Zea mays: one gene and its partner. The protein of the gene in region 1 binds, or shares a complex with, the protein of each later gene. Links are inferred from orthologs where the notes say so. Each region holds a gene or a part of one and is shown in the gene's direction. Other genes may lie near its edges.

Evidence for each region.
Region 2: Nuclear-pore anchor (region 1) and IDP351 share a complex: the UniProt entries of both Arabidopsis thaliana proteins name them as parts of the nuclear pore complex. The link is inferred for Zea mays from reciprocal best matches to the Arabidopsis thaliana genes NUA and SEH1H.

The regions. Positions count from the first base shown.
Region 1 is NC_050099.1:187,927,652-187,932,903, forward strand, and holds part of Nuclear-pore anchor, read left to right. Parts: intron 1-1,088; coding exon 1,089-1,181; intron 1,182-2,713; coding exon 2,714-2,869; intron 2,870-2,950; coding exon 2,951-3,004; intron 3,005-3,576; coding exon 3,577-3,690; intron 3,691-3,823; coding exon 3,824-3,901; intron 3,902-3,983; coding exon 3,984-4,133; intron 4,134-4,383; coding exon 4,384-4,455; intron 4,456-4,911; coding exon 4,912-5,058; intron 5,059-5,136; coding exon 5,137-5,190; intron 5,191-5,252. UniProt on the Arabidopsis thaliana protein: Component of the nuclear pore complex. Acts as a docking site for activities required for desumoylation and mRNA export. Required for the proper expression or localization of a subset of miRNAs.
Region 2 is NC_050098.1:223,531,507-223,535,106, forward strand, and holds the start of IDP351 (Protein SEH1), read left to right. Parts: upstream 1-1,142; 5' UTR 1,143-1,396; coding exon 1,397-1,540; intron 1,541-2,358; coding exon 2,359-2,470; intron 2,471-3,600. UniProt on the Arabidopsis thaliana protein: Required for proper export of mRNAs from the nucleus to the cytoplasm.

The DNA.
Region 1 (5,252 bases):
CCTTAGGAACTTGATTGATTACCCCAAACCACCAGCCTGAAAAACTCCTTCCACTGGGCTGCGGGATATGTGTAGGCAGCCCCAAGCAAGTGAATACCATGGCCCAAACTTCACGTGGGAAAACACAGGAGATAAGAAGATGCTGCATGGTCTCCTGCTCCTGGTCGCAAAGAGGACTGATAATAGAATGCGGGAGCCCACGTCTAGCCAAGCGATCCGCCGTCCAACATTTATTCTTTAACAGCAGCCAGATGAAGAATTTGCACCGGAGGGGTGGCCAGCTTTTCCAGATCCTTTTCCAAGGCCCAAATTTAATTGTCCCTAAGAAGAAAACCCGATAAGCAGATTCAGATTGATAAGAGTACTCAGATATTCTCAGATATTCGACCAAACGAATTGATCAAGAACTCCTGGTTGCAGAATAACAGCATCAACCAACTCCAAAATTCTCAGATATTCGACCAGAACTTGGACAGTAAGCCCCCCGCACGGATATCGGTAACCCATGTATGATTAGATATATACGTGGTAGGCTAGGGGTAACACCAATTGAAGAAAAACTTGTCCAATGCCGTTTGATCGAATGGAATATACCCAAAGATTTAGCCTTGAATTGGAGCGAATGGAAAACAACTATCCATGTGCCTGAACTTGATTTGTGGCTTGTGTTGGGTCTCAGCTCTAGCCTAACCTAACTTGCTTGGGACGAAAAGATTTCGCTTGTGTTGTTGTATGCCTGGCTTGGGTTCCCAGAATGCCACCTCTGTTTTCTTTGGTGGACTTTGAGTTTATCTATATTCTGTGGTTTTCTAATGCTATAATATACTTTTAATGCTGGGTATATCGTTAGCACATGTGTTATTTTTGTTAAATTTTGATTATATATGGTTCCTTATTTTGCGAGAAGTGAGCAAAGCAATCAGAAATAAAATCAAATTTGGCCTCTTCGTGCATTTTTTTTGAGAAAAAATGTATCGATTTCTTGATGTGCTACCGCCTACCGGTGTACATTATCAATGTTGCATTGAATTTTGTAGTTTCCATTGTTCTGTTTCTTACGTAACTAATTCATACTGCAATCATTTCAGGAATGTCTAAGATCTTCTGCTGAACAAGAAAAGATAGGCTTATTGAAAGAGAAGGACGATGCCCTGCAGAAGTATAATGAGCTTAATGATCAGGTTATTTAGCAATTTTTGTGTTGAATATCTAATACACTACCACAAAAAGTTTTTTTATTACATTTGATGTTTGTTATTCTTGTTTAAGTAATTTTCTGCCTGTTGTAACTGCATGCTGGACATTCACCTTTTGTTTTCTTTTCATAGCACATGCCTACTTCAAGTGTTAATTTGTAGTGGACATATTGTTACTGCTGGGGTGTAGACATATATTTGGAACAAGTAATTGTTGTCAGTTAGGGATGAAACTGGACAGGATAAATCCTGTACCCTCTACCTTTTTTGTCCCAACCATTTTCATATAACCGGGAAATTACAGTACATCTTAGATATAAAAAATAATATAACTCAATAGCTGTAACTTCAAGTGTGTTATTGTGTACTCTGTTTGGTTTTAATATTCTGGTTTATGTCTGTTTCTGCTGAATCCCCACTCGTATTTACCCGTTCCGTATTGCCGTCTATCTTGGTCCCGGCTTTTTGGGTCCTGCCGCTCCCGCTCCCGGCTTTTTTTGATCCCGCTTTCATCTGTTTTCATCCCTATTATGAGCGTAGCACAGTATGGTACTCCCTATGTTTTCTGGTCGAGCGACCAGCTGGTTGACCTAGGGTTCCGACCAGGTGACTAATCGTATATATGGTATATATAAAGTAAAGATTAAACATGACATGAATTTTGCAATACTGACTTAAGAGAAGATATTTGTTCATCCATCTAAAAATAGTTTCTCCCCAGTGACCCTAAAGTAATGCTGGTGTTCAAAACAGCAAAGAAACACTTACTACCACTCTAGAATTTTGGACATTTAGAAGAACAAGTAATGAACAGCGATTGAGAATTTCAGAGATCTAGAATTTTGGAAGGTTTTATTGAGGCTGCCGGCGGACGTTTCACCTCTCTGTAGCCGGCTGCTTGCCAGAAAAAAGCCCATAAAAATTTGAGGCGCGTCGAACCTTGGTTGGACATTATCTCCTGATGAACGAGCGACTAATCGTAGCTAGTCGGCAACTAGTCGGATGGCCAAGGCGATCAGGTGTCCAGTGTCCTAATCGGGTCGCCTGCCCTGATTGACCACCCAAAACCTACCAGCCCGACTAATCGCGATTAGTCGGATGATAATGAAAACACAGCTCCCTCCATTTAAAATTACATACATTTTGGCTTTTCTGTATTCATAGTGTTTGCTATATATGCACTTAGATATACACTATGTCTACTTGTCTAGATACATAGTAAAAGCATGTATCTAGAAAAGCCAAAATGTTTTATAATTTGGAATGTAGGGAGTATCATGCAAAAAGGCTTGAACTCTCCAGCTAGATAAATGTCTCATTTGTAGTAGTAAATAATTTGAAGATGAAATTGGTTAGTGACGGTTGTGGACGTATGTATTTTTATGGTCTACTTCAACTAGGCATATATTGGGAGTCTGTGCTTTCACTGCTTCTTAATGCTATTCTTTTCACAATTAATGATTCTGAGTTTGACTAGCATGCATTTTTTCATGATTTCTATTTTGTTATGAGTGCAGAATAGAATTCTACACAATCAGTTAGAAGCTTTACACATTCGGTTAGCCGAGAAAGAACGGAATATTGCTGGGCTTTCATCACATCGTACTGATAATTCACATGCAGAAGATGATCTACAAAGTGTCATCAGTTATCTGCGCAGATCGAAAGAAATAGTAAGCATTGGATTTGGAGGCTTTGTCTAGTATTCAGTTTGCACTAGATGTGGTTCTTATTCAGCCTATTGACTATTTCAGGCCGAAACAGAGATATCATTGCTTAAACAGGAGAAGTCTCGGCTTCAGATAGAAGTATGTTATGCTAGCACCTGGCAACCTGCCCTGCATTTGTCCTTATTCAAAATGCTTTTGAATTTAAAAATATAAGATTCCATGAGGACCATCTATTGCTGGTTAAAAAACTGCAGCACATTCTGCCAGATGCAATATGCCATGTTGACCATATAATTAAAAAGTTGTTCGATTTCTGTTTGATAAACTGTGCATTGGTTCAGTGTCGTAGGATCTATGATTTTTTTTTGCTGTGCGTCATGTTGCCTTCTAGTTGGTGTCAAAACACCAGCTCTACTGGCAATTGTTTGTTTAAATTGACGCCTCCCTAATAATAGCCAATTTGCTCTGGAAACGGTGTTATCTGCTATATGCGTACATGCTCTGAAATTGATGACCCTTTTTAATTCATCTGTCTTCAAGGAAAGGGGGTTTTTTATAGACTAAATTCGGAATGTTTGGTTGGGACTTTTGTGTTAGAAGTAGTATTTGATGGAGCATGTGAACCTCCATTGTAGTTTACTTTACAAACTTTTTTGGTTGAATGTATTGATGTCTCTAATTTCATATGTTTCTTTATAATGGTAATACAGCTGGAAAGTTCTTTAAAGTCTGCCAAGGAGGCACAGGACTTGTTGCGAAGTCAAGCTGATAGTGCCAGGGCATTGATGTTCAAGGATGAAGAGTTCAAGTCACTGCAGATTCAGGTGCAATTCAATTGTTGGGATTAGTTGATCACATAGCTATGTCGCATTGCTATGTTGCTTTGACCTGGTTATTGAGTGTATTTTAGCCTTATTACCTTATTTATTGTTTTTTATTTGAAATGACCGACCTCAGGTCAGAGAAATTAACTTGCTTCGTGAAAGCAACATACAACTTAGGGAGGAGAACAGGCACAATTTTGAAGAATGCCAGGTAATATATTAAATTGGTAATGTTTAATTGCTGGTTCATATCTGGATGTGCATAATTTTTTATTTTAATTTTGTGCGTTCAGAAATTCCGTGAAGAAGCTCAAAAGGCTAAAATGGAATCTGAGAGGTTGCAGAACCTTCTACTGGAGAAGGAGGTAGACGCTGAAATGTGCAAAAGAGAACTGGAAATGCAGAAGGCAGAAATAGCTAATCTCAACCAAAGTATTTCTGAGGTAAGTTTTAGTCCACTTTCTAACAGTAATGATAAAATGCCATGAAATTCCTTTGGCTTCATTAAGAACAGCAGCTGTGGTTTTTGTCCCAAGCAAGTTTTAGTCTGTTGGTTTGTAATATGCAGGTTATTGCCATAAAAAAATTGTAAACATTGTGAGAAAACAATATGTGCATAAAAATCTATATATTAATTCATTCTATTCTTCATATGTTGAGTTCTGCAGTTGTGTATTAATGTTTTCTTGGCAGCTGATTGAAAATAGCAAAGGCATTGATTTGAACACTTATGAAGCCATGAAGAATGAACTTCAAAATATCAAAGTTAGTCTTCTGTTTTCCTCTTCGTTTTTCTTTGTGATGATGCCATTTTGAATGTTTCTTGGTCAATGATGTATACATGATTGGATTTCTTTTTCTGCACAAAAGAGTTTGATGACTGTCATTTTTGTCTAGTTTGACTAAACATTTGATGAATCACTATAGTGTCTTGTTTCCCTATTTTGTACCAAATATTTTTGTACCACTTTATTTTCTTTGCTGTGAGTTTGTGACATAAACTGTATGAGCTTCTGCACTGTACTCTGTATTACGATTATTGTTATCTTTTGGATGGATGCTTGCTTTGGGTGAAAGTGATGGCGCAAGTCTCTAACTGTACATGAGTCATTAAGTGTCTAATTTCATTAGTTGTATGATATTGGATTTGCTTGACTTTTTTGGGTCATAGTTTAATCGTCTTACTATCACATACATTAACATAATTATCGTTTTCAACAGTCAACCTTGAGAGAGAATTCTATGGAGCTTGAAAGTGCAAAGATACTGCTTTCTGAGAAAGAAGTTGCCATAAAAATTTTGGAGGATAAGCTTTCATTATGTCAATCTGAATTGGATTCCAAGGAAAAGAAGCTGAATGATGTAGAGGTGATAATAGTTCCAACTTTCATGACTAATATATTAACTAATTCGCTGTAGTACTTATATTTTTTTGTCCTATTGTAGGCGTCCCTTAAATCTGAGATTGACAAGCATAAGAAGATTAATTTAAACTTAAAGGTTTGGTTTTTTTTCACTTAGTTGCAATATTGAATTTCTATTTTCTATTTTGTTTATTCATG
Region 2 (3,600 bases), on another chromosome or scaffold:
CTTGCTTCGAGCGAAATTCCGTAGATTTCAAGGTTCCTAGGGGCGGATAGGTGGAACACCGAAGGGAAGCCAGCTATCAATTACATGCCTATTTGACAACGAGGTCGTGATACATAGACCACACTCTCAGTGTCACACATAGGGGCTACCAACCATAGCTGCATGGATAGGATGATACATTATGACAGTGTTCAAGTGGAGCTTAAACATTGAAACTCCTCCTGGATCAGAGGGTCAGAGGTAACTAGCATAGTAACCATGACTAGGTGTGGCTTATAACATCAACAAGCCAGATAAGACTTGATAATCAACAATCTAACACAATGCTAAGCCTTAGTTAAAGTGCTCCTATACTACCTCAACAATAACCAAGAAATAAAGGTAAAATAAAGTAATATTTGAATGTAATACTTAAAGTAAAACAAAGGTAGTGCTCACACTAGAACACAAGATAACTAGATTTCATTTAATAGTCATTGGTAAAAAAAAAAGATATATCTAAAGACCCCAAGAGAAATTTAGAACTTCCGAGACAAAGCTCGGACTCAACTCTAACTTCTAAGAACTATCTACACTACCTGGAAAGTAGGAATTGAAAAACATAGGAATAGAAAAAAATGTAGGAACAATATAGGAATGCATGTGTAAAACAGAGGAATGAAAAAATAATTTTGAGTGGAAGGTTGTTTAGTTGGGGCAAAGGATTGGAAAAAAAAGATATGACTGGATGCTTGTTTTCATGCATTTTGCATACGAAACAATGACAAATGATTCTTTCCTCTAAATTTCCTAAGGCTCAACCCTACAAACCAAAGGATGCTACAATAGTAATTTCTATGAAAATCAGAATCCTATTTTTCCTATAAAATTATTTTGATCCAAAGGAGCCTTGAAATAAAGAGAGGAAGTTTTCTAGAATCTATCTACTTTCAACTTTCTTATCCACAACTGAACACCCTCTCAGGATGAAAAAAAATTATGGGCATGTTTGGTTTCCTGCCTAACTTGCCATAATTTGCCTAACTTTTTCTGCCTAAGGTTAGTTCTTCAATTCGGACGACTAAACTTAGGTAAAGTGTGGCACAGTTAGCCACGAACCAAACAGGCCCATATATATATATCTCCTCATCTCATAGCATGGCTTGTTTGGTTTGAAGCCGGCCAAAGTTGCCTGGCCTGGCACAGATCTCAGGCGTTGGACTTTGAGTGCTTGGGCTAGGATTCCTTGCCAAACAGACCTGAGTGCATGACAGCGACAGCCTTCTGGGCTCACTCGCACGGTCGCACCCGAAACGCCGCAAATCCGGGCCCGCAGCCCGACCCAACTCAACTCAGGCAGACACTCGCCGCCGCCACGACGTCACTAGTAGAGCCGTAGAGGGCAAGAGGCGACGGAATGACGGAGCGGCAGGTGGCGGAGCTGGGTCCCGGGACGGCGTGCTGCGGCTGGAACCACTGTGGCCGCCGCCTCGCCGCTGGCGCCGTCGATGGCTCCGTCTCCGTCTATGACTCCCAGCCGCCACCCTCGTTCAAGTGGCAGGTCAGTTCCGCGTCGCTCCTCCGTGTCTCTCCCCTACCCCCTCCCCCCCGGCTGAAGACGACTTGCCCCGTTCTCAGTAGCTTTCGCTCGAGTTCATCTGCCCCCAGCGCATGCACAGTGCCTTCTGTTGCCCCGTGTGTGTTTAGAGCTTGTTGCTGCCTAGTATTACATTCTAGTACTTGCGTACGATGATGGGCAGGACTGTCATGGGCACATTGCGTGGGGGCGAATTACCAAATTCACTCTCTAGATTTCACAAATATTGTTCTTTCAGCAAAGCGTTTTCTGAGTGCGGAGGGAATCTGTCCATTGAGAGAATTTGAGTATCGTGAAGATTATATGCGGAGAAAGATAAATAAGTTCATAGGGTTTAGCATGTAGAAAGTGATGGATTCCTACTATCACAACGAATCAGCCGATTCTGTATTCACGTTGATTTTAGACGATTTTGACTGAAGTGATTTTCATATAAACGGGCTAAAAAACTAGGTGTTTGGCAGTCTACAGCAGCTTCTCGTGGCCAGAAGCTAAAAAAAGATGAAACAAACAGGGCCATAGACTAGTAAGTGTCCTTAAGTAGCAGTGCCGTGGGATGGTAATAATTCTCTCATGGCAATAATTCGAGTTCCTGACATTGAATTTGTGCTTGCTCTGAAAATTATGATGGATATGCAGCCTTGTGGGCATTGCACACAAGACTACTTGAAAACTGTTATCCAAAATCGGTTCCTTCTATGTTTACTGTGTTAATCTCAGTTGTTCTTTTGATTGTACAAACTGGTGTATTCTGGTGTATAACCTGGTTGGTGTTGGATCAGGCCCATGAGCAAGCCATTGTGAATGTCGTCTGGCTTCCTCCAGAGTATGGGGATGCTATAGCTTGTGTTTGTGCTGATGGGACACTGTCTTTGTGGGAGGAGGTTGCTGCTGGTCAGTTATTTCTATGCCTTTTAGGTTTGGTTTATGATGTTCTGTATCTGCAATTATCTTGTACTTTCATTTCACATGCTTTTGCTAGTTTTTATGTATTGGAATACTAAACAGTACCTTATGTTCATGTCAGAGAGCTTTGCGTTTTTTTGGTGGTGTGTATTAATATATTCAACAGTACCTTGTGTGCATTGACTCAGAAAAAATGTGAATCACTTAGCAATCTTTTAAATTTCTCTTTTTTCTTGCTGGTCTGGTGGTTACCTGGAGAACTCATTTTGACCACGAAAGCACCTTTTACCATGGAATATTTGGATATATAGACTAATTAACAACCTCTCTTGTAGAATGAATAACAAGAGTACAAGACTATTTTACTAGGATAGGATTGGACGATATACTGAACCTGACCTTTACTTCAAGTCCTGTCTGTATCTTGTGTTTCTCTAAATTGTACTACCTCTGTTCTCGAATATTTGTCGTCCGCTAGTTTATGTTGAACTAAACCGCGACAAATAAAAAAGAACGGAGGGAGTAATTTAGTTCTGCGATATTTGAACAAACCACCAACAGATATTTCTGTCCTTGTCTTTTAGTCACTCACTTTCAAGTTTTTTCTAAAGCTAAAAAATATGAGGCTTTATCATCCTTTGCTTGCACAAGTGCCTTTATGAGAAGTCAGTGTCACAGTCCTTCCCGGGAAGGCTGTCTAGGAGGCTGCTTTTGCTCCTGCCAGTGACGGCTAGGGCAGGGGGGAAGCGGTGCTGCTGCTTTGGAGACGCAGGGGCTAGGGTTTGAGCGGCAGCGTGGGCAGGACGACAGCACGTGCCTACGTGCGGTGTGGGAGGTGGCAGTGGCTAGAGAGGAGACCAAGGTTGAGAAGAGAGAGAGAGAGAGGTAGGGGAGAGTTGATGCTCTGTCTCTGCTTAAGATTGAAAGGTTACATCGCTCCTATATTTAGTCCCTAGAGGACTCGTACTCAAAGCAAATTAGAGGAGTCTTTATAGATTTGGATTTCTCCTTTCCTAGCAAACCAATCCTATTTCCTACACAAAACACAATCTTATTTCCTACACAAAACTCTATTCTATATACCTACTTTTATCCAAACTTCAAATATATTCCAGATT